3 linked regions of the Rattus norvegicus genome follow. The main gene of each other region encodes a partner of the protein of the gene in region 3 in a complex. Links are inferred from orthologs where the notes say so. Each region holds a gene or a part of one and is shown on either strand. Other genes may lie near its edges.

Region 1 (10,683 bases), on a different chromosome or scaffold from region 3:
AGATTCCTGGAGACTAAAGGGCCCCAGAGGGCCCTGCATATCGCCAAGGCTCTGGGAATGACGACGGCCAAAGAAGTGAACCCCATCCTGTATTCCATGAGGAATAAGCACCTTCTGACCGTGTCTGACACACAGATGTGGACCATCTACCGCTCAAGCCAGGAAGGCCAAGAGCGAGGTATGAGAGGTCAAAGTCGGTTTGGGGAGGTCGGGGGTCAAGGGTCAGGTTGGGAAGGTCAAGTTTCAGGTCAGGAAGGTCAAGGGTCAGGATTAGGTCACTGAGGGTCAGGTTGAAGAAAAAAATCAAGGATAAGGATTGGATGGTCTAGGGACAGATTTTTTTGTTGCTGTTGTTGTTGCAGATTTTCTTTTATATTTGTGCATCTTATTTTATCTGTACGAGTGCATTGCCTGCGTGTACACGCACCACATGCGTGCACTGCCTGCAGAGGTTAGAAGAGGGAATCGACCTGGCTGGAATCTGAGTTACAGATATAGCTGTGAGCCACCACGTAGGTACTGAGGCCTGGATCCTCTAGAAGAGCAGCTGATGCTCTAACCACTGGGCAAGGCCTCCAGCCTTCGGGTCCGATTTTACTGATACTCTTTAGGGAGGTGTTCTGGGAGGGAGGGTTGCTGCCAGGATTAAGCAGGGAGGGTCATCCAGCGGCTGGTCTTGACTGGTATGAGCCTGCCCGCCTCATTCATAGTGCCCGTAAGGTCTCCAGCCTTTGGCAGAAGAGTGAGCCATCCAAATCTTTAATGAAGTCAGTGGAACCTAAGGACCACGTATGCGAAGAGGGATTTTAATCCAGAAACATGGCTGTCCTGACAGGGGACAGGGGTTGAGTCTGTTGGAAGTCAGTGTGGCGAGCTCAGTACAGTAGAGCTGACTTCATTCCTGAGTTCACGCAGTTCAGGGGAGGTCAGCAGAGGCGGCTGAAGCCAGAGAATGAAAAAGAACCCGAAGATTAGAACAAATTGCCGTTGTTTGAGGCAAAGCAGTGAATTCAGTGAGAGAAGCCAGACTGAATAAGTCAGCTTGGAGAGGAGTTTTGAGTTGAACCAGCCAGCCAGAGTTCAAGAAGAACTAGTATGGATGAGCTTATTCCGCAGTAAGCCTCCGAGACAATTATATCTGGCAAATAAAATTTACATTTCTGCATAAGAGGTTTCTTCTAGCCATCGGTGAGGAGAGAGGAGCCTGGGTGGGGGGGTGGTTCAACTGAGAGGATTCTGGAAGTCTTCTGAGGGCTGAGATGCAGAAAGTCTGGAGGGAGGGACACACTGGAATTGCTCAGCCTGGACACAGGGGTCAGCCTGAATTAGTAATGACTCTTTGCGAACACTTTGTCCAACATGGGGGTTTTCGTCACTCAAAGAAGGCAGACATTATCCCAGCATTTAGGAAGCAGAAGGAGAAGAACTTCAAGTTCAAATCTATCATCCTAAACTACCAAACTCCCCACAAAACCCAAATTGAAAACCAACCATAGGGGGCATTTTCTAGCCATTGCTGAAGTGAAAGGAGCCTGGGGCTCAGGACTACGGGCCCTGCAGGGCTCTGGCAGCAGGGACAGGGTAGGAAGAGAGCGGGAGTCTCCACCATTCTCCCGGTGAGTCACTGAGGCAGGGACACACAGGTAAATCGCCTGCTGCAGGGATGTCAGGAGAGGCTCCTGTCAATCTACCACTGTGTCCATCAAGCAGGAGGAAGGATGCTGTGGCCAGGCAGCTCCTGGATCTTACCTTACACCCTCTTTCTCAGGCCCCCAGGAGGGGGTCTGGGCTCCTGTAGCAGCAGACACCCATGGAAGTTCAGTGCTGTTGATAAGAGACCTCCTCTGTCGCTGAGACAAAGAACTCAATGGGATATTTTTCCATAGCTTGTTCCGGAGTCGGACAAGAGTCCCCTGCGGTTATTTACCAGCAAAATCCGATCAACATGATCTGCCAACAAGGACCCAACAGCCTCATCTCTATTTCCAACTCAAAAGCCATCCAGATTGGCCATGGGAATGTTATGTCAAGACAGACAATCTGTGGTGACCCAGGTAAGAGCAGGGTCCTGAGGGGTTGGGGATTTAGCTCAGTGGTAGACCGCTTGCCTAGCAAGTGTAAGGCCCTGGGTCAGTCCTCAGCTGGGGGGTGGGGTGTCGGGGGGTGTGGTGGGAAGAGGAGGGTCCTGGATAAGGGGGGTACTGAAAGGGGACTTGGTCCTCCAAGGAGAAGGCAACTGCTCCATCTCCTTAGGCACTCCTTAGACTCAGCCTTCCTCAGAGAGACCCGTGGGCCACACCTCACCTGTACTCCCTGTAATTTTGCTCCTTCTCAAGGATATCAAACTTTTTTGCAAGAAAATAATTCACCTCCCCCACCCCTCTCTCAGCAGGACATGGTGAGAGGGTTACTGCAATTCTCTGCTCTGAGCACATTTCTGTCTCTCAAATTATGCCACAAAAAATTGGGGTCATCTTATATTCAGTGGCTTCCTATTTACCTATTTCTGTCTGTCTGTCTACCTATCTACCTAAGTGTGTGTGTGTGTGTGTGTGTGTGTGTGTGTGTGTTTACTGAAGCCCATTCAGAACCAGAGGATGACGTCAGGTGTCCTGTTCTGTCATACCTCATTCATCCAGGGTCTCTCACTGAACCTGGAGCAAGAATTGCAGACAGTAAGTCCCAGAGATCCTGTCTCAGTGTCCCCCCAGCCCTTGGGGTGCAAGTGCCTGCAGTCTGGCCTGGCCTTTTACATGGGTGCTAGGATCCAAGCCCAGGTCCTACACTTGCTGGGCAGTGCTCTTAGCATTCCCAGCCAACCCCCAGCCTCAGCATTTGGTTTTGACGCATGTTGGTACTGTCCAGAGAGTGTTTCCTCAGAATAAGCATATGGCTCAGAGGGTGTGGGGCCACCTCACACTCTGGCCCTGCCACCCACGCACTAGGGTATCAGCCCCAACCCAGATTCCCCCATGCTATCAGGAGAGATCTGCCTCACAGGAGGCTCGTTTCCCCAGCGTGACTCCCCTGGCTCTGATGGCCCTCCTGTCTGCCTATTTTACTTAGGGATGTTAAATGCATCGCCATTTCTCAGACTCAGGTGTATTCGCAAAGTTTCTGCGTTTCCTTTAATTTGAAAAATCATAAAAGCGAGGCTAAAAACACTTGAGAAATAAACACAGCCAGGACCCTTCTCAAGGCTGTGGAGGACTTGTCCGGCCTCGGCGGCCTTCCTTTCCATGGGAGACAAAGGTTGAGGAGACCCAGCAGGCAGGTGCTGTAATAGTACCCTGAGCCCCCGCTGAGAATACAGACTGCCTGACTCCAGCTGCCTCTGGTGCTCGAGCCTGAGAACAGAGCGATCTGGAGTTTCTAGAGAATCCTTGATTCTCTGCCCCGCCCAGGTCCCGGGACTCCTCACCACGCCCCTCTACCCGTGCTAGAGGATGCTGCTGCTCAGGACACGCCCCCTGGTACCCACGGAGCTCAACTCATCCACCTGAACAAGTCCATGCTCCGACGTGTGCAGCTCGGCCACGGCAACGAGATGAACCTCGAGAGGGATCCAGTGGAACACCCCATTTTCAGCTTTAGTAGTAGCCCCCCAGGTAAGGTGGCCTCTGTCGCCCCACATATCTAGAAAGGACCGGAAGCCAGAGTCTTTGCCAGAAGAGAACAATGATGGAAAACTCATTTCTACCCTGACCCGTTGGAGGGGTATCACTGAATAGTACCGAGCTTTTAGATCTGGCACTCGGGGTCCCCAGGCTCCCAGCACCCACGTGCAGCAAACCCCAGTCAGCGCCTACATATGGAGGCTGAGTGGGAGGAAGCCAGATCACAGGGGCGAGCAGAGGCCTGGATGGTGGTCTAGGGAAACAGAGAAGGAAGCAGGTAGTCGATGGTAATAACAGTGTCCTGGTGGTACAGTGACTCGAGGACCCTGCCAGGAACTGTGGATTCTTAGATGATGAGGTCTCGGGGGACAAACAGAGCCAGGGAGAAGTGCCTTCAGAAAGAAATTGGTCAGGGAGACAGGGCACAGCAGTGGGACCAGCAAACAGGACTCTGTGCTGGCCTTCTGTGACTGTTTCTTAGAGTGAAGGGAACCTACATGTAGGGGGAGGGAGGGAAGCCAGGCAAGGACATTCCTGACTTTTTGAGTGTGAAAGTGAAGAGGAGACATCAGGGTTCAGGGGGATGCTGAGGTGAAGCTGGGGCTGGGAGAGAAAAGGTATGAACCACAGTAGGACAGCATGAAATGGTATGGACCACAGTAGGACAGCATGAAATGGTACAGAACACAGTAGGACAGTATGAAATGGTACAGAACACAGTAGGACAGCATGAAATGGTACAGAACACAGTAGGAGAACATGAAATGGTATGGATCATAGTAGGAGAACATGAAATGGTACGGAACATAGTAGGACAGCATGAAATATTACGGACCATAGTAGGACAGCATGCCCTTCATCTGCCACCTGGGAACTGGCCACAGAGAAGATGGAAGCCTCCTGAGGTTCAGAAGATGATGCTGAGTCCTGAGTGGTTTTGCTGGGCTCAGGGTGGAGGGTAGGGGTGGGGGTGGGGGTGGCTTCCAGTCCAGTGGGGACCTGTGCCAGGACATGGAGGTAGAGTGGCTAAGCAGAGGCTATGGGCCAGATCTGCAAGGTCACTGGTGAGACTGAGCCGTGAGGATGGGTGTACACGCCAAGTCCCTCTGCAAATTGCTCGCTTCTCCTGGCTTCTCTCTTTGGTTTACTTGAAGAGTCAACCACCACTGCAGACCCAGAAACTGCATTCAACATGCAAACACCTGAGCCAGGCCCTCACCCTGAGGGAGGCACAACCCAGATAGTCCACATCAAATCCTGCTTGCTAGAGGACACGACCGTCGGCAACAACAACAAGATGACCATCCACCGTAGGTCAAAGGGTGGAGCCAAGGAGTCTGCAGACAGCCAAGAACTGAAAGAAGACACAGGTGAGCCTGGGCACAGGTGGCTGTGTGTGGCCCGCCCTCATTTCTTCATCTGCCCTCAAGGGTCAAGGCAACGGCCTGGTGGGAGGACACAGGGTCTGGAGCTCAGCGAGTGGACCAAAAGCCAGCGTGTAGCTCAGGCTATGGGAGGATGTAGGTGCAGGCGCTGAGGTAATAAAGGGCCACAGAGCGTTTCGAGCAGGACTGAAGCAGAGACCTTTTGGATCTGGAGTAAGAGAATCCTACACAGTCCTACCCGTGGATGGTTAGATTAACAAGGAGGGCCAGGATGTCTGGAAGTCCTGGTATCCGGTGAAGTGCTGTATGACTCACACAGTGAGAACAGGCCATGGGTGGGGTGTCGAGGGTCACAGTCACCAGGCCCAGGTAAGGAACCCTTTAGGGAGCCATCATGGTTGCTCCCAGAGAGGAAGTTGTGAGCCTTGCCATCAAGGAAGCTCTGTGGGAGATAAGGAGCCAACAAGTCCTGCAGAAGGGTTACGAGTGACAAAAAGGCAGGCGCCAAGACCCTGAGGGGAGAGGTGGAGCAGCACGGGGCGGGAGTCTGGGAAATGGGAGGGACCCAGGAGCCTAAAACCCGTAGTGGATGCCTGCCCAGTCTTTCAGAGCCTGAAGGCATGTGTGCAGTGTAGTATTTAAGTCTTCCTGGGCCAGCAAGATGGCTCCGTGGGTGCACGCACTTGCTGCCAAGTCTGAGGACCTGAGTTGCACTCCCCACGGCCCACACGGTGGAAGGAGAGAGCCCACCCATTGTCCTCTGACTTCAGAGACACACAGACAGGCAGAGAGACACACACAGACTCGTGAATGAATGAATGAATGAATGAATGAATGAATGAATCCATGTGTGTGGGGCGGGGGATTTTGGCAGTTTGGGAACAAACTGTCAAATTTGTGCTCCAAACTGTCCTATGGGAACACACGGGCAAGCAGAAACCCATCACAGTGGTTGCCAGATAAATACTTCTCAAGAGTCTGAAGGATGCCTTCCTCTTCTCCCTGTCCCCTAGGTGCAAGTTCTGAAGCCACGCCACCCAGAAGCTGCTTGCACACACCCAGCGACTCCACCCTGCTCACCTCTGAGCTGACAGCTATGGCTCTGGGAGATGGCAGCCCCCAGATCACAGAATCTATGCTTAGAGAGGATGAAGTGCAGGCCGCAGAAACCTGTCAGACGCAGGACTGAGGTGAGAGGAGGGAGGTGGCGAGGGCACAGGCACAGGTGGAGAGGCCTGTGGGGCTGTTTGTGGCTGCACACAGGGCCTGGACTAGATGTGTGTGTGTGTGTGTGTGTGTGTGTGTGTGTGTGTGTGTGTGTGTGTGTGTGACCCAGATGTGATATTCTCACACTGTATTGACAACTTGGTCCTGTCCTGGCTGCAAAGTCATCCACACACAGTCTCTAGATGGATTCGCTCGCTGCCTCATGAGGTTATTGGGCTGGGGTAGAGACTTTGGGAGGGCAAAGAAAATGAGTCAATGAAGACAATCAGTGCATTCAGTCCAGACCGGCTTTGATCCACCATGTCACCAAGGGTGACCTTGAATTTCTGATCTCCTGGCCTCCAATTCCTGAGTGCTGGGATCATAGGCATGGACCACCAAGTCCAGTTTATGAGATGCTAAGGAGGAAACTCCGTGTATACAGGACTTCATGCATACCTCACAAGCTCTACCTATGCAGGCTTCATGCATGCCTCACAGGCTCTACCCATGCAGGCTTCATGCATACCTTACAGGCTCTACCAATGTAGGGCTTCATGCATGCATGCCTCACAAGGCTCTACCCATGAAGTGCTTCATGTATGCATGCCTCACAAGGCTCTACCCATGAAGTGCTTCATGTATGCATGCCTCACAAAGCTCTACCCATGAAGTGCTTCATGTATGCCTCACAAGGCTCTACCCATGAAGTGCTTCATGCATGCCTCACAGGCTCTACCCATGCAGCCCCAGTTCCAGCCTGGGTCATGCCCCTTCAAGTCTCTCAGTCATCTCTTCCTGTCATGCCCTTCTGCCCTACCATAGGCCAGAAAGCAATGGAGCCACAAGACCATAGACCTCTCTGCCACCATGAGCCAAACCAACCTTTCCTGCCTCAAGATCAATGAATCAATCAATACATCGATCAGTCAACCATATGAGCCAGTTGTACCACTCCTGGGTGTTCACCGGAAGGGAAAAGTCAACACAGAGAGACGTCTGCATATCCATGCAGACGGTGGTCCTGTTCCCAGCAGATAAGAGATGGAACCAACCTTGCTGTCCCGCAGTAAAAGATGGGCGAATGTGGAGTAGCACACAGCCATGAAAAATACTGAGGTTGTCATTGGCTGGAAGAAGATGACACCAGAGACCACCACGTTAAGTGAATGAAAGCCATCTTAGAATGACAACGGTCACGTCTTCCTCTCTTTTGTGGCTCCTGGACTTTATGATAGATTCCTGGAATCATACACAGATGTGACATTAAAGTACACGTGACACCAGCCAGGGAATGAAGGGACCAACAGGAGGATGGGGGGAGAGAGAGGCAGGGTCATAGCCCAAGGGGGTAAAGTCCAAAGGAGGGGTGTCACAGCTGAGGGGGGTCATGGCCAAGGGGAGATCACAGCCAATTGGGGTCACAGGTAAGGGGGGGGTCACAGTTGAGGGGGGCAAGGCCGAGGAGGGGTCATGGGTGAGAAGGGATCACAGCCATGGGGTTCACGGTGGAAGGGAGATCATGGCCAAAGTGGTTCATGGCTGTGGGGGTATCACAGTCGTGGGGGTTCACGGCCGAATGAATGCGATGCACTTTCGTACAAAGGTGTGCCTCTGAAACTAAAGAGCGTCAGGCCACTCAGATAACGGATTTAAAGAATTAAACCAGGGGCGGGCGAGACGGCTCAGAAGTAAAGGCTCTTGCCTCCCAAGCCCCATGACCAGGGCAGCCTACTGCACCCAGTTGATGCCATACACAAAGCTGAGGGCCTCGTTAGTCTCCTCGGCCTTCCACTAGGAGGCTATGAGGCATCGCTTTAAGGAGAGTGCCTCACTAGACCCTGAACCTGCCATGGTGACCTTAGTTCTCCAGGATCCACATGCCGCGAACAACTTTCTTACCATCATAACCCACCCAGCTCAGGGTGCTTGATCATAGCAGCCTAAACAGGCAAGGCTCGCCTCAATCCTTGGCCCTGTAGCAGTGATTCGCTGGCCCATGTGTCAATCAACCAGCCTTGGCCAGTCAACAGACAGGAATCATTTACCGTATGCCAGATAGCTAACGTTTTCCAAAACCTTGGGGTTCTGAGTGCTGGGGGAAGGGTAATGGAGCTTTGAAATGAACGGGAAAAAAAAAAAAAGGAAGAATCAGCTAGCCAGGAAGGCAGCTCCCGAGTGGAACCAAGTGACTCTTAGTGTGTGCAGGTCATGTGCAGCCTCCCAGTGCCGCGTGCTTTCTCCCCCTTTGCTCTACCTCTCGTGTGAGGTGTAGGCTGTTGTACCTAGAAGCTATGTCCCCGGGTCCGTCTGTCTTGGTGTGTGTGTTGGTGCAGCTCACTCAGCACAGGGTCTCAGAGGGACTCTTGGTGTCCTCAGCCCAGCCATCCTAAGGCTCCCCAGCCTTAGCCATACCTAAGAAGGATCTTAGGCATCCATACAGCACTCCAGTGGGATAGCCTGTTCCTGCAGGGAGTGCTGGGATGTGGTGTCTGGTGATTCCAGCTACCCCTGAACCAGAGATTAGTCCTGCACTTGTCAAAAAACCCAGTGGTTCCCTTAGCGCTGGAGCTGGGACAGCCGGTGCAGCTCCTCTCTTCTCTCCCACACACCCAGAACCTTCTGTTCACCAAAAGCTTCTGAGCTCAGAAAGGCCTTTGAAACCTCTGGCCACCTTCATCCATTCCGTGCACTATTCTGTTTCCACCAACACTGCTCTCTTCCAGCACCACCTACCCATCATACTCTCTCTAGCCCCACCCACCCTGCACGCTCTCTTCCGGCCCCACCCACCCAGTACGTTCACTTTCTGGCCCCACCCATCCTGCGTACTCTCTCTGGCCCCACCCACCCTGCAGGCTCTCTCTCCATCCTTGTCTACTCTCCTCCAGCCAGGCCTACCACTCACCTCTACAGATGAGCAGACTGGCTTGCTTGTTGATGACAGAAAGCTGGATTGTGTGTGCCTGCACAAGGGATGAGCTGTAGATTGTTCCAGGCTTAAGTCCTGCTTCAGGAATATTTGCATCCAGGGGCTCTGGCTGACCCAACCCCCGCCTCCTTTCATTCTGCTTCTCCCGTACTAGTGAAGATGGCCCTTGGCCCCAGTATGACTGTCAGTGCATATGACAGCTCTGATTTCCTTCTCCACCCAGCTGAAAGCCACCCCCTAACTAGTCGTGGGCCAGAGCAATAAGACACTTCCTTGATTGGCCTCTAGTGTTAAAAGGCTACCCCCAGAGCCAGAGAGAAGCTGTCACAGAAACTGTCAGAGAAGTCAAGGCTGTGGGAAGGTGGAGGGCAGGGATGGGCCAAGGGTGTATGGGCAGATCTCTGAAGCATTCAGGAAAGAGTTGCTACGCAGACAAGAGGCTCAGGAGACACTTGGGTGGAGAAACCATGGCCCGTAGCCTGGTTTTCTCACTCTCAATCCCCTGGGGCCTCTGGGGACTTTGCAGGCTGCATTGGGCCCTGAGGCTAGAGAGGGAACCGTGGCAACCAAGAGCTGGATGTCAATGGCACACCTCAGAGGGGATGGTTGCAATGAATAATTGGCCCGCAGCCTCTGAGCCTCAGAGCAGCGCTGGGGAGCTGAGGACTCTAAGTTCTGGTCTCTGAGGTCAGGTGAGGAAGTCTGAGACCTGATCGGACTCTAAGGAAGGCAACAGAGATAAGGGGGCACTTGGGGATGAAAGAAAGTCAAGAGCAAAGGAAACCGAGATAGAAAGTCGGTGGACAAAGGAGTCAAGGCCAGAGGTTGTTTGTACAAGTCTTAGCCATAAGCCAGCTTACCCGCAAATGTGTTCCCTGGAAGCTGGGCCGTGGGGCTCGCTGTGGACAGGGATCCTGTACCACGGCACAGTCTTCTTGGTCACTGTGGTCACAGACAGTCTGGAAAGCATGTTGCCTTGGGGCATCCCATTGTCAACGAAAGCTAAGTGCAGGTGGCTGGTCTCATCTTCCTTCTCCACCCAGCTGAAAGCCAGAGGCAGATCTCAGAGCCAGCCTGAGGTCCACAGTGAAGCCAGCCCAGTGTCTATGGGGAACAAACTGAGCTCCTGAGCTTGCCCAAGCAGAGGCCTTGCTGCCCAGCGCCGGTTCCCCCTCTGCAATTAATTTCTCATAAATGCGCTGATAAAGTGCTGCGCGGCTAATGGAGGCTGGAGGTGAAGGGCGAAGCCATCTCTCAGGAGAGGAAATTAACGAGGCGCCATTAAAAGCAAGAAGTGATTGAGTCAGCGATCCTCAGCCCACCTGCCCCTCCCTCAGGGTGAGGAGAGAATTTGGCCTTTGGTTGGGGGTGTGCCATCCACTCAGCCTGGGCACTGAAGGGGCCTTTCACCTGTGCTTTGGGTGGAAACAGCTAACACGGGAAGCTGAGCGTAGGGAAGGGAACGGGGAGTTCATCCGGGATCCTGTTGCTTTGGGGAAATGGGTAAAATTAGGTATCCCAGAGGTCGTAGGATGCAGGATTT
Region 2 (10,683 bases), on a different chromosome or scaffold from region 3:
ACCCCGCATTCCTTGTTGCTCTTTTTGTTACCAATAACTCCACATGGCTAAACCCCTGGCACATCTGTAATCCTCACCTTAGGTAGCATTACAACAAAACAAACAAAGGAGACACAGTTGGTTCTATTTTAACTTTAAGAGTGATCTTCTTTTCTTAGCTTCTGAAACGTGTGTTCTCCTTTGCTATAATCCCTCAACTGCCACTTCCTAAAGAGGACGCTCGGTCTGCTGTTGGCGGTGGCCCGTGAGCTAGCTTTGAATTCTTGTTTCTCTCTCAGCAGTTCTTCTGATTGATTTACTCATGCTGAGTTCACCCAGGTCTATGCCATACCAGTAGACACACAGGCCAAAATATGACGTCCCGGTAGGGCACAAGTCCCTACTTAGTGGTAAACCACGTCAAATGATCTTGATAATTTGTGCTTGATGTTTGCCTGGTAACACTAACTTGAAGATAGCTGATGCCCAGGCCTAAGGACCACCAAGGGCAACACTAACCAGGGTTACACCCGAGTCTCACGGGCAGAGAAAACTCTGTAATGTGAGTAGGGGGTGTCCTTTGCCTACTTCCAGGCTGGTGACTTGAAGCTGTTGTACTAAAGCCTGTAGGCAGTTGTTTAATTCCATTGCGTGTTGGGAGGCTTTTCCTGTGAAGTGGGGCTCGGGTCTAAAAGGCTTTTCTTTCTGTTTGTTGCTACTTCCCACTGCAGTAAGCAGAATTCTGAGCTAGATTTGGGTCCTATCACCTGTGGGTGGAGACCTTTTTGCTCATCCTTCTGTCCAACCCAGATCCAAGGAGGAGAACTAAAGGAAGTGAGCAGACTGGCTTCCACAGTTCCAGTCAGTCTAACCCATAGTCTAGTCTAAGGGCTTATAGAATTCTTCCAGGGAGTGATATTTCACTGTGCTAGCATGGTACTGAGTTTAAAGTCTAAGGCTTGGGATGAGTTATTTCTCCTCCTCCTCTTCCTCCTCCTCCTCCTCCTCCTCCTCTTCCTCTTCCTCCTCCTCTTCCTCCTCCTCTTCCTCCTCCTCTTCTTCTTCCTCCCCTCCTTCCTCCTCTTCCTCCTCTTCTTCCTCTTCCTCCTCCCCCTTCCTTCTCCCCCTCCTCCTCCTACTATTCTTCTTCTTCCTCTTCTTCTTCTTCTTCTTCTTCTTCTTCTTCTTCTTCTTCTTCTTCTTCTTCTTCTTCTTCTTCTTCTTCTTCTTCTTCTTCTTCTTCCTCCCTCCTCCCTCCTCCTTCTCCTTCTCCTCCTCCTCATCCTCCTTCTCTTTCTTCTCCTCTCCCCCCTCCACTTTGTGAACTTGGAGGAGTGTCAACATGGACAAATCTTTCCCTTCCATTTCTTCATTGTGTCTTTTCTTACTATCCAATGAAACCAAGACACAAAGGTCTCTCACATGGCTTCTTTAGGTATTAGAAGGGCAGGTTGGGCTCTGTACAGCCAGTTAAAATTTGTGTGCCTGTGGTAAGATGGCTGCTAGGGGACCTTATTTAGCTGCCATCTTGTTCTGTGATCTTTCAACTGGGCTTCTCAGTCAAACCAAAGGTACCCTGAAAACAGCCCAGAAGATGCCTAGAGCTGTGTTTTTAGTTAGAGAAGCTTTGCTTACTCAGTCAGTGAATGTTTGTTGAATAGTTGTTGTATCACAGATGGTATTTTCAGAACTAGGACTGCAGAAAAGAACAATGGAGTCCTTGCCCACAAACTACTTTCACTCTAGCACAGAATGTGAACCAAAACACAAACAAAAACTACTGGATTGCTAAGTAGACAAGTAGAGAGGTCCTGGAAAGTTTGTGGTAACAGAGGAACAGGGTCAGCTCTAGTTTTATAAAATACATGCAGGGAAAGTCAAACAGAAACCTACAGAGAGGTTGGGTTTCAGTTATTCTGACACACTGTGAAGAGAGATAAATGGTTTTGACAGGGGAAAATGATGGCAATTTGTGATGTTATTATTAATATTTCGAGTTACAAATGAGCATGTAAGGAATGGTTGTTGTGAAATAACAGTAACGTTAGAATTTTGTTGTTTTGTTTTGTGGTTTGTTTTGTTTTTAATCCAAAGGTATCATTGCACATTCTGTGAATAATACAAAGGCAGTTGGCAAAAGAGAGAGCAGAGGGCTTGGATTCAGAAGACTTGAGGTCAGGCCATCTAGTCATCCTTTATAAGCTGTGTGGCATCAAGTAAGTGATTCTGCCTCGAATCCCAATTTAACCTACAACTGCTACGGAGCTGGTGTTTTCCAGGTATGCCATACAGGACAACTTCATGTCCTGGTAACACACCTCCTAGATAGAAAGTCATTCTTGCCAATATGTTCTTTTTCCGTCCCATCTCTCAGACTCCCTGTGCAAGCACTTTGAATATACACTGTGCGCGGTATAGCATGTGCTCTCAGATTGCAGCTGCCACTCTTGATGGCCATGAAGCTGCCAATCAGATCGGAGTGCATTTCCTTCGAGTATCTCCACTCTCTAACCAACCCCTCACTGGTTGTGTTTCATGGTGCTTTCAGTTGAACCCCAAGCTTCCTGTATAGTAGTCAAGGGCTCTACTGCCAAGATTCATTTTGGTCCCAACAAATACTTTACAACTTTTTAAGCAGACTTACTATGTAGTAAAATTGTATGTAAATAAGATAATCACCTTCAGAGAAATTGGTGTTTTAATTTTTCGTATAAAATGTGATTGAATGTGACTGTTTTTATTGAAGAAGGGTGTAGGAAGATTCAAATTTCACACAGACCAGTAGAACACAGGCTGAGGTGGTTAGCGCATTGCACATGCTAAGCCAGAGGAGACTTCCTTCCTCCCTGGTATCAAAAGGACTGGTGCCCTGGTGCAGATTTATCCCAATGCTATTTCAGGTGTATTTCTTAAGTTGGAAAAGATGCTTATGGTAGTTTTGAGCTTTGAGTATGAGCACCACCCATGTAAACAGAGCCACTCTGATCTTTTCTTTACCTGCCCAGTTTTTACCAGGGCAGTGATAAGGTGTCATTAATAACTCTACAGAGCTCATTGACATTGCCCGCACTGATGGGAAACCTCCGGGTCTTTGGCCAGTTGCTTTGCTCTTATGATCCACATCTTAGCCATATGTCTTCTACATTATTCTCTCAAAAGTAACATTATTAGCAATGTCAATGATATTCTCCTACATTGTCATCACATACTGAGGCACGTTGCTTGCCCATCTCCTTTCACTGCTTTTCACCTAGACAGCTGATAATTTCTCACAGATATGTGTTTTTTTCATGTATTCTGCAAAGAAGGTGTTTATTAATTATGGACACTCAAGGTGGTACAGTCCCAGCTTGGACCTTCTAAGTTGATGTTTGCATTATTTGTATTTTGATGAAGAAATTTAGAATATGCATTCAATGAAATGGAATACAATCTCACCTCTCTAACATGTCCTTTATGTACATTGTTCAGGAAGTTTTTCTTTTTTCTCAATGTAAAGTGAAGAAAACAATTCCAGTGTTTCTCAATTGTATTGCTATTCCTATTTAGGTATTTTATCTGGGTGAGTATTTACTTTTCTGTGATTTAAGGCAAAGATCAATAATCATTCCTCACATAGTTTTTGAATACTTTTCATTGCTTGTCATTCTTTCTTACAGATTTATTCATGTTGTTTCTGTGACACGTTTCTTTGTATGTGTGGTTTTGATTTAACTCTGACATTTTTCTGCTTTAATATCTGATTTTCTTAATTATTACATCTTTATAATAAGATGTAATATAAGTATTATATAATATAATATAAGTAATATAAGTATAATATAAGATGCCTATAAGTATTTATAGGCAGTAAGCATAATGTTTCTTGGTGAATATTTTTTAATCATTTTGTATATCTTTGTCCTTATCTTTTCACGAACTTTAGAATGATCCTTAGACATTTTCTCTGAGATTTTGCATGTAGTTTGTATATTAATTGACAAAGCTGACATCTTCATTTTATTGAATGTTCCCATTCAGAATATCACATACATCCTAAATTAATAGAGAGATAAGCTAAAGAACAGGGGAAAGAATCCGTAAATAGACAAACTCAGATATGGGAAAGTGAATTTTTGGCAGAAGAAGAAGTCATAGTCTTTTCCATGTGATCATGGAAGAATGTTTGCTATTGGAACAAGAGGATCTTTTTATATTTTTATACCATATACAAAAGAATCCAGAATAGGTCATAGATATACAAGTTAAACCTTTAAAATCTCTAGAGAAGAGCTCAGGAGTTAGCTCTTCTGATCTTGATTGGAAAAGAGGGGACACCCAAAATGTGGTCTTCAAGCCAATGAACTGGTAAATGTATTTTGAGAATATATATGTTAAGGTTTTAAATTGTATGTCTGAAGTATACATACTATGTCACATACCCTATGCTTTAGAGGGGACAGGAACATAGACCCTAAGAATCCCTAGGTTATCACATGCCCTTTGAAAGAATCCTTTCCTGGCACTAGTGACCATCTTGCATAGTGATTCACCTTTCATGTTTCACCTAAGGCTCTCTTCCTGCTCTGTCATCTTGGGTATTTCCTGTTACCTATTCACCCTGTGTATCCTGAGTGGAGACTTACATAGAATGCTGTAATCTTACAGTCGAGGTTTCTTTTTAGGCTGATCCTGAGTCTGGGAGATGGAGAGTGACTTTCGGGAAATGCTGTTGTTGACCGGCCTGGACCACATCACGGAGGAGGAACTGAAACGGTTCAAGTACTTGGCCCTGACTGAGTTTAACATTCCCAGGAAGACACTGAACATTGCAGACAGGACGGAGTTAGCTGACCAACTAATTCAAAGTGCAGGAGCAGCATCTGCGGTGGCGAAAGCCATTAGTATTTTTCAGAAGTTGAATTATATGGATATTGCAAAGGCTCTTGAAGAGAAAAAGAAAGAAGGTGTGTAGAGTGCCCCCTCCCCCAATGAGATGAGAGAAATGAAGCCCTTGTACACTGCATGGTAGGAAATTAATTTGCTTAATCACCAGGCCCTTCACCTCCCTGCTCGGGAGTCACTAAACAGCATGTTACAAATTCCTTAGCCAGTAGTGAGGGCTGCCACCGTTGTCTCTTTCTCCACCAAACTATTGGTAGAAACTGTGGAAATGGGATGTCGGTGTTAATGTCCAAGGTCTCATTACACAGTAGTTAAGGTTTTCACACTTTGCTGAAGGCCTGTCTGTAACATTAAGAAAGCACATCCTTGAACAGACAAACCAGAGACTCCTTTAACTTTGCCATGGATTATCCACTTCTGTACTGAGCCATCCTGCCATGGTCCCAGTCAGTATTTTTTTTAGGAAGCCTTTGTGCTTCTACTCCATGGAATTTTTATTCCCTTATTTATCTCCAGTATAGATGCCGTTACAAATTTTCAGGACACAAAGCACGTGTTTGCATTCAATAAGCCACTTCCGGATTTCCACAGAATCATACGCAGGTTGTTAAGTTCCCAGTCGCTCCCTAAGAACAAGTGGTGTTTCCTTTGTGTTCAAATGACTAATAAGAGCCAACAAAAGAATACTTCATCAAGGGAATCCTTAAAATGAGAGATTCCAAAGGCAGTAGTTTAGGGACACTGTAATACAGAAGCTGCAAAATGTTACCTGATGGCAGAGTTGATGTGTGTGATGCAGGAGGAGAGGCTTGGCTTCCCGAGGGTTATTTCTACACCATTGAAGTGATGAAGTAAGGGCAAAATCACATACAGATGTGAGATGTTATATGACTTTGAGGAACTTAGAGCGAGGCCTGATTAATGATCATTTTAAGGGTGGCTGACATCGGATGGAAAGTGTAGTTCTTACATTTGACCACATGGTGACAGTAAGAGCACACCATTGCTCCCAGTCACTTCTGTTCATCTACTGGCAACCCAACTGAATAATTCTGATAGCATCGTTTAGTTCCCCCCCTCCCCCCAATTACTTTTTATTTGTTTTTTTTTTTCTGGATAAGATGATATAAAACACCGTTACTTAAAAATTTCCTTCAGTTTACTGTTGTAATGATGGTGGAATTTTGATTAGCTCAAAATGATCTACTTTGAGACGTGGTTGAAAACTCAGGGGTGAGTGCTGATCTAGAAGTCAGTTTAGTTTCTTTGCAGCTTAGAAGCACTGCCTGAAGTCATCTGCAAGCTTGCCTCAACCACCGCCGTGTCAGTGATGCCAGTGGCTGTTATGGTAGAGCACTGATCTCTGGGCTATTTCCGAGAAGTTTCACCTCGTATTTATTCTAGTAAATGTTCAGCATGTCATGACCTTGCCTCATGAAAAGTGGGGGCTATCTGAACAACTTAAACAATGTCATCAAAGAATGATAACAGGCTTGAGCAAGAGAATGGGTAAGAAAATTATGAGGACAAATAAGTATGACAAAGTCAAGCAAATCTAAGCAAATTCTCTAATTATAATGATCTTAGATAGGTGAAAAGTATGCATCGAATTATTTGATAAAATGAGAGGTATCTAGCGGAAGATGACAGTTTTCCAAATGCTTCCTCACAAAACTGTGAATGACCTTTATAAAAAGGTCAGTGTGATTGATAGGTTGGAATAGCATGACATGTTTATTCCCTTGAGCTTCCTTAACTCTTTCTCCTCTCCTGTGCTGTCAATATAGATTAGATATTCTTATGTGCACATTTATCAAAAAAATAAAGAAAAAATTTATAGAACTAACCATTAGAAGATCAGTTGAACTTCTTGCAAACATATTTAATCATTTTGGTGTTAGTTATACACCATCATCATATCCTAAGTTTATGTACCATAACCGCACAACAGAGTTAGAAATGGGACAAAAATATCTAGTAAGTTTATAGTTTTGCATTGGGTTTCATTCAGAGCTTTCTTGGGCACATGCGATTCACAGACCAAAGATTAGACATACCTACAAGAACAAATGTCTCTATAGGATTCCTGAGCAAGACTCAAATCCTTTCTGTTGTCTGAAATAGAGTGACAGAATAGTTATTATGTGACCACTGTTAGCCATATACATTAAATTATTTGATTTCTAACAAAATTAAATCTGTGCACATTCTGGAATGGTTCAGATTCTGTGAGAAACCACATCTAAAGAGGTTCTTATCACACCTTTACCTATAAGTTCCTTAAGTAATTGAACACCGACCATATTAAGAGATGGTCACTTAAAAATCAGGACAAGAAGTTTCTTTTCGGAATAAAATAAAGGGTTAGTGTCTGCACATTTGAGGAAGAGAAAGCAGTAACTTATTCTTAGTCCTTGTTCTATTTCTTCTTCATTCTCTCTTCACTCACCTACCACCCTATTCTTTAACCCAGGCTGCGCTTTGCATATGTTGGCTAGTATCAATTACAAGGAGATACCTTGTTTCAGGCTCTCCGATTGGACCGGGTGGCTGCTTGTATTCTGTGGTCAAATAAAAATATTAACTACATTGTATGGTTTAATAAGATCACTAACTGGACTTAGCAGTGAGGTGGAGCTGCTGGCTAGAGTCTTTGATCCTCTTTAATTAACTAAGTTTGCAGGATAAAGGTCCTAAATGGGCAGCATTGCTACTTAGATTCTCCATTTGTGTATGGCCGAAGATTGGGGTCTGAGGATGGGAAGGATGCTGCTGCTGGGACACTTGGTATGGGCATGACCTGAGACGACCACACACACACACACACACACACACACACACACACACACACCCCACACCAGCCCACCCCACACACCCATGTATAAAATAAAATCGTAGACTTTTATCCCAGTTTGGCTCACGCTGAACCGCAGGCTCGTCACTCTCATCACTTCTCGGTCACTAGGTTTGGGGAGACCAGGTACTCTACTCCAAAGAAATATTGGACACACTTGCCTTTAGCAAGAAGCCCCCCCCCCTTTTTTTCAAACACTGGGGCTGAGTGGTGTGATTTTCTCAATAGGCTGTGGCTAGCAATGTCAGATGGTTCCTTTCAAAGACATTTGTGTGCATGAGATTGCCTATAACCTTCAGGAAGCCTGATATGTTGCTCTGAGGCTGGGTGGGGTCAGCATTCCACAGTGGAGGAAAGGCAGATTTGGATGCTGTGCTCTACACACATGCATATGTGTATACCCTTACCCAGCAAGTCTCAGGTCTTTTACAGAGTAGTAAGACCATAGGAAAGTTGACTATGATTCAAAGCCAACAGATCTGTTGCATGAGGCTCTTAAAGGTGCTATTGGATATTCTGTTTGGGTGACTCCACAGTAAGACCCACTTCATTTTGTTTATGTCTAACTTATCCCTGTTATTCTAGTCTTGCCAGTGTATTCAATATTTCTTAAGGGATGAGGTGAGAATAAACCTTCTACAATGCCTACATTATAGTGGGGTGCCACATGGGCACTCCCTGCCCTTCATCCTCACCATCGAAGTTGTAGAACCATGGGGTTCTCTCTATACAGTACTGTCCCATTTTGGGGGGGAGATAATGTGGTTAAAAATGAAAACATTCCACTCAATCTCTAGAGGAACTTTTCTCAGTCTTATGGTTCTGTTGCATTCAGAGATTTTCCCAATGTGCCTGTCTGTGGATAGTCATGTGTTGTATTCCTGTGAGGACCTGAAGATGGGAAACTTCTAATCCATCACCCTGCCACTGTCTCCTTTCTAATTTTCTTCTTGAAAGTTAATGGTATTTTAATGATATTTTAATTAAAATTAGAATTCTAATGAGAATTCTAATTCTCAGCTATGCTTATCATAGATTTTAATGTGTCTTTTTCTTGTTTCTTCTTTTTTTCTTCTTTTTCTTCTTTTTTCTTTCTTTTCTCCTTCTCCTCTGCCTCTTCCTCCTCCTCCTCCTTCTTCAGCTGAAAGTAAATATGTGACAAATACAAAGAAGAGAGGAACACAGAAAGTAGAAAATAGAAGTCAAGCTAAAAACTGTTCTGTTGCTTCTGCCACCTGCAGTGACAAAGACTTCAAGGGACACTCTGCTACAGAAGTCTGTCCTCAAGTTAAGGTAGGCTAGTGCCACTCTTATCAGAGCATTTTGTCATCACTATCCCCTCATCCACCACATAAAGTCTTCTGCTCTTTGTCTCAGAACATACAAACCAAGAAAACAAGGCTATTATAGGAAAGATATGTCTGCATTACAAAAAGAAAAGTCACTCAAATTTATCAGTGTCCATGCCCAGGAAGCTCCTAATTTCTGCCATGCTCTGGACATAATAACATGTTGCTATGTTAACCTCTATTTGAAGAAAACTCTGCCGGGACCTTATACAGTGAGTAATTTTCAGGGTGCTCTTATCACTAGTTCTTTTGAGAAGGTTTAGGATGAGAGAGAACGGGGAGAGTTCTAGTTCAATAGATTGCAGCAAAGAGTTCAACCTATCCATGGGAGACTTGGGGGCTAAGAATGCCCTTCAGGATTGTCATGATGTGGGTAGAAAAGACAGTTCCTTTAGTCACGATGTGCCTGCTCTTATTGTGGTGAAATAAATGGCTCTTTGTAGCAGAGGGAATAAAACTGGAAGACAGTCCTTGTCCCTTAGTCCTAATAAAGTAGCATGTACCACAAAATCCACTAAGCATCTTCAATTTCATTTTCTGTAATGAAAATGTCACGTAACTTTACAGAGGAGTCAGCTTAGGGTATGGGCACCATTCTATGTAGAGCACCCAACCATTTCTTCTGTGTTTGGCTCAGAAATTTCCAGAATTGTCAAGAAAACAATACAGTACCCAAGTTTAAATGTTACAATTGAACAAGTAGACATAAAAATACATATTGTATAGTCTCTGAAAAATCCAAATAAAATGCCTAGGACTGAAGACATATTCTAAAGTAGTTCTCAGTGCGGGAGCTCTGTGCACACCACTTATTGAAGAGCCAAATAAATGCTCAGCATTGGAGGGAAAACTATGCTGTCATAGAATCACAAGGAGATAGAATCTAATTCAGCCCCTCACAATGATTCGGGTGTCTGACACAGTCTTTTCATAGCAAAGAAGGGTTCTGATTCAGGAATTTTGTCTCCAGAGTCAGTGCACTGCCCCATCTGAATACTGAGCGCAGAGCATTCCTTTGATGTCCTTTCAATCTAGGTAGTTTCAAGTCTCTACTCTCTTCCTAACGTCTCCATTTTCCCTTCAGCTCAGCTTCTTTGTTTCTGGGGCCTTCCTGAGAATGAAGGCTGCCTGAGTGGATCCATAGCTAACATCTTCTTTCTCTTGTCACAGCCTCAGAAGAAACAGATGGTGGCAGAACAGGAAGCCATCAGAGAAGATTTACAGCAAGATTCACTAGTAGTCATGGTGCTGAAAGCTATGAATCCCTTTGAGTGTGAGACCCAGGAAGGAAAACAAAAGATATTCCATGCCACAGTGGCCACAGAGACAGAATTTTTCTTTGTAAAAGTTTTAAATGCACAGTTTAAAGATAAATTTATTCCAAAGAGAACAATTCAAATATCAAATTATCTCCGTCACAGTTACTTTGTGGAGGTCACCAGTTCCTCAGTTGTGGTTGATGTTGAATCTAGCCACAAAGTCTGCGTTCCTAATAACATTATGAAGAAAGCTGGAGAAACTCCTAAGATTAGTAAACTGAAAACTCTGCCGTGCGGGACAATTGTGAATGGCTTATTTAAAGTCCAGAAGGTAAGTTCCTATATGCAATTTTATATT
Region 3 (3,600 bases):
ACTCCTTTCTATGAGGGAATGAGGGAGGGCTTTACTTTTCTGAGACAGGAAGCACGGGTGACACATAACCCAGTAACTTTGTGAAGTCATCTCAGCTCGGCACAGAAAAACAAGAGGCTTTGTCTTGCATGGAGTCCTGCAGAAGGATATACTTTCAGCACTGGAAGCCTTCAAAAGAACGCTGCCAGGAGAAGGGAAGGTGGGCAGCAGCCGCTGAGGTCTGCTTCCAGGCAGAAACTTACATTGTATCTCTTTTCTGCCCAAATCCTGACTTCTCCAAGCTCAGCACAGTCCCTCAAAGTGGCAGATTGTTGCTGTTTGGCTTGTTTTTCCTTTGTTTGGTTTTGGTTTGGTTTTGGATTTTTTGGTTTTGTGGTGCCCCCCCCCCCATTAGGGATATTTCTCCCTTTCTGGTGAGGTACATTTTCCATCAGTTAAGGCAGAGACAACGGACCTGTGCTGCCACCTTTTTTTTTAGAATTATTTATTTATTTTGTCTGAGTACACTGTAGCTGTCTCCGGACACACCAGAAGAGGGCACCAGATCCCCTTACAGATGGTTGTGAGCCACCATGTGATTGCTGGGAATTGAACTCAGAACCTCGGAAGAGCAGTCCACCTTTTTTTTTTTTTTAAAAGGTTCCAGGGTTGGGGATTTAGCTCAGTGGTAGAGCGCTTGCCTAGCAAGCACAAGGCCCTGGGTTTGGTCCTCAGCTCCAGAAAAAAAAAAAAAAAAAAAAAAAAAAAAAAGGTTCCTTAACACTTCGGGGTTTTTTTTGTTTGTTTGTTTTGTTTTTGTTTGTTTTTGTTGTTGTTGTTGTTTGTTTGTTTGTTTTTTCCAGATATAACAACAGGTTCTTTTTCCGGTTCCTCAAAGCACCACGAAACTGCCACTGGGTGGGACCAAGACAGAAGAGAATGTAAACATTGGGTTCCATCCCCTGGACTCAAGGGAAGACCCTTATTCAGAGAAGGGCTTGATGGCTGGAAGGGAACAAAATGAAAGAGGCTTTCTGACTCTCAGCATAGAGGCCTGAGCATACAGAGCAAGTGGGTTAGGAGAGAGCTGGACATGGATGGGAAGGAAACGGAGGATACTTCCTAACATATCCTCTTAAATAAACTGGATCGAAGACGCACTGTGGAACGGGGAAAGGACAGAGCACCCACCTCAGGCCAACCTGACCTTCTGTACATAATTACAACACAAGGATATCCAGGAGAGAAAACAGCCTTGGCCCCCACAAAGACAGTGGGGTGACAGGCAGGGCCCCAAGACAGGAACAGGAACCTAGCTCTAACATCTGAGGGAAGCCACTGGAGTGTAAGAATCTGCAACTGCTAACTGCCATTGCCATGAGTCACTGTGGTGACCAAAGGCAAATTAAGACAGCACCCCAGAAGAACTCCATAAGCGTGACAGAGACCCAAGCTGAGCCTAACTGGCCGAAAGAGTCTCCAGACTTGGTCACTGTTACCTGAGGAAAAGTAGCTGTCCCATGCACTGTGGCTGTCCCGGCCATGTAGGGAGCAGCAGCTGGCAAGGAGTCAGGGGAATCAAGCCTTAGAAAGAGGAAGAGTCTGCCAAGGGAGCTGGGAGAGCAGCCCTGCCAGGGCTGCTGTTGGCTGAGGGAGAGGAGGAGGGCCATGCCATCCAGACCCAACAAGAGGTCAAAGGTAAGCATCCTGCCGGGTCTCAGCTGCTGACCTGACCCCACCATCCTGGGGTGCTGGGGGGCCATCTGCCTTTCAACGCAAGGTTTCGGGCCTTGTCCCTTCTTCTCCAGCTTCTGCCCCTTAACACTTTGTTTACATCCAGGCCAAAACAAAAAAGTTTGGGGAGTTTCTAATTTCTTTATCTGCAGTGTGTCTAGCCTCAGCCTGTGGCGAATCGCTAACAGTAAGTATATCGTCTGGGGAAAAAGGCCAACTCTTGTCATGGTTGATGGTAATGTCACATGATGCCTGGGCAGAAAAGGAAACAGAAAGTAAGTTTGTCCTGTGAACTTCCTTGTTGGATTACAACACCCTCCTGAACCGGAAAGCAACACACACACACACACACACACACACACACACACACACACACACATCTCCAAGTTTATCGCTGTCAGAATCTTACCATAGGCAAACTCCATGACCTAGTAATTTCAGTCAGGAACGAAAGGCGGACACCAAAGAGTCTCTGGGTTACAGTAGAGCAGGAAGGAGAGGGAAGCAGCCTCATCTCAGTATAGGACCCCCAGGGAGAACAGGAGGCTGCAATTCAGTACACACCTCATAAATTCATCTCCGAAAAATTAGAATATCAAGTTTTAAATAAGAACATAGAGGGCTGGGGAGATGACTCAGTAGTTAGGAGCGTGTGCTGCTCTTCCAGAGGATGCAAGTTTAGTTCTCAATGACGGAGGCAGGTGGCCCACGACTGCCTCTAACTCCGATTCCAGTGTATCTGACACCCTCTTCTAACCTCATCTAAATAAATAACATAAAAATACAAGAAAATGGGGTTGGGGATTTAGCTCAGTGGTAGAGCACTTGCCTAGCAAGCACAAGGCCCTGGGTTCGGTCCCCAGCTCCGGAAAAAACAGAAAAAAAAAAAAAGTACAAGAAAATAAAAACCATCCACCCATGAACCCCTATTTGAGAACAACTCCTTAGAACATATTCCTACTTGATTACTTAGTTTTGTTTGAGACAGAATCTTACTACATAGACCAGGCTAGCCACAAATTCACCATCCTCCTGCCTCAGCCTCCCTTGTGCTAGGCCAATATATCTATCTCTTATTCAGATATTCTTTTCTTTTTCTTTTCTTTTTTTTTTTATTAACTTGAGTTTTTTCTTTTTTAAAAAAAAAAAGATTTATTTATTTTATATGAGTACACTGTCACTCTCTTCAGACACACTGTGGCACCAGATCCTATGACAGATGGTTGTGAGCCACCATGTGGTTCCTGGGAATTTAACTCAGGACCTCTGGAAGAGCAGTCAGTGCTCCTAACCTCTGAGCCATCTCTCCAGGCCCAGATATTTTTTTAAACAGGTCTATACATACTTCTTTGTTTCGTTTCTTTTCTATTGTTTGAGATAGTCCCTGTCTCACCCTGTAGTTCAGGCTGGCCTTGAATTTGGGAGTTATCAGAAGATGATCTCCAATTCCTCATCTTCTTGCCTAGATCTGCAAAGTGTTGTGGTTACAGGCACACGTTACCAAGCCCAGCTTTTTTACGTTTCTTTTATTTCCCCCAATAAAATTTAATGTTTACACTCAGCCAAAACGCTTATTAACACAGACTGTTAAATATTCATTAATCGATCTTCAGATACCACCACCGCCCCCTTTTGAGGCAAGGTCTCAGGTAGCCCAGGTTGACCTTAAACTCACTACGTAACTATTAATAACCTTAAACTGGCCCCCTGGCCACCACCATCAAAGAGCTGGGATGATAGGATTCCAGGGGTGTTCCACCACTCCTGGTTTACACACATGCTGGGATCCAACTCATGGCTTCTGGCAAGAGAGGAAACCCGCCAAATGATTTACATTCCCTACTCCCTGAATCTCGTTTCTGATACATTAAATTTTATCTTTATCTG

Evidence for each region.
Region 1: Ripk3 (region 3) and Zbp1 share a complex: the UniProt entries of both Homo sapiens proteins name them as parts of the AIM2 PANoptosome complex. The link is inferred for Rattus norvegicus from reciprocal best matches to the Homo sapiens genes RIPK3 and ZBP1.
Region 2: Ripk3 (region 3) and Aim2 share a complex: the UniProt entries of both Homo sapiens proteins name them as parts of the AIM2 PANoptosome complex. The link is inferred for Rattus norvegicus from reciprocal best matches to the Homo sapiens genes RIPK3 and AIM2.

What each region holds. Positions count from the first base shown.
Region 1 is NC_086021.1:182,408,476-182,419,158, reverse strand, and holds the end of Zbp1 (Z-DNA-binding protein 1), read left to right. Parts: coding exon 1-178; intron 179-1,886; coding exon 1,887-2,054; intron 2,055-3,404; coding exon 3,405-3,608; intron 3,609-4,771; coding exon 4,772-4,987; intron 4,988-6,015; coding exon 6,016-6,191; 3' UTR 6,192-6,192; intron 6,193-7,033; 3' UTR 7,034-7,494; downstream 7,495-10,683.
Region 2 is NC_086031.1:88,425,712-88,436,394, forward strand, and holds part of Aim2 (interferon-inducible protein AIM2), read left to right. Parts: intron 1-2,073; 5' UTR 2,074-2,258; intron 2,259-4,643; 5' UTR 4,644-4,663; coding exon 4,664-4,925; intron 4,926-8,858; coding exon 8,859-9,010; intron 9,011-9,094; exon of another isoform or gene 9,095-9,134; coding exon of another isoform or gene 9,135-9,278; intron 9,279-10,236; coding exon 10,237-10,656; intron 10,657-10,683. UniProt on the Homo sapiens protein: Sensor component of the AIM2 inflammasome, which mediates inflammasome activation in response to the presence of double-stranded DNA (dsDNA) in the cytosol, leading to subsequent pyroptosis.
Region 3 is NC_086033.1:33,259,847-33,263,446, reverse strand, and holds the start of Ripk3 (receptor-interacting serine/threonine-protein kinase 3), read left to right. Parts: upstream 1-1,421; 5' UTR 1,422-1,677; intron 1,678-2,122; exon of another isoform or gene 2,123-2,258; intron 2,259-3,600. UniProt on the Homo sapiens protein: Serine/threonine-protein kinase that activates necroptosis and apoptosis, two parallel forms of cell death. Necroptosis, a programmed cell death process in response to death-inducing TNF-alpha family members, is triggered by RIPK3 following activation by ZBP1.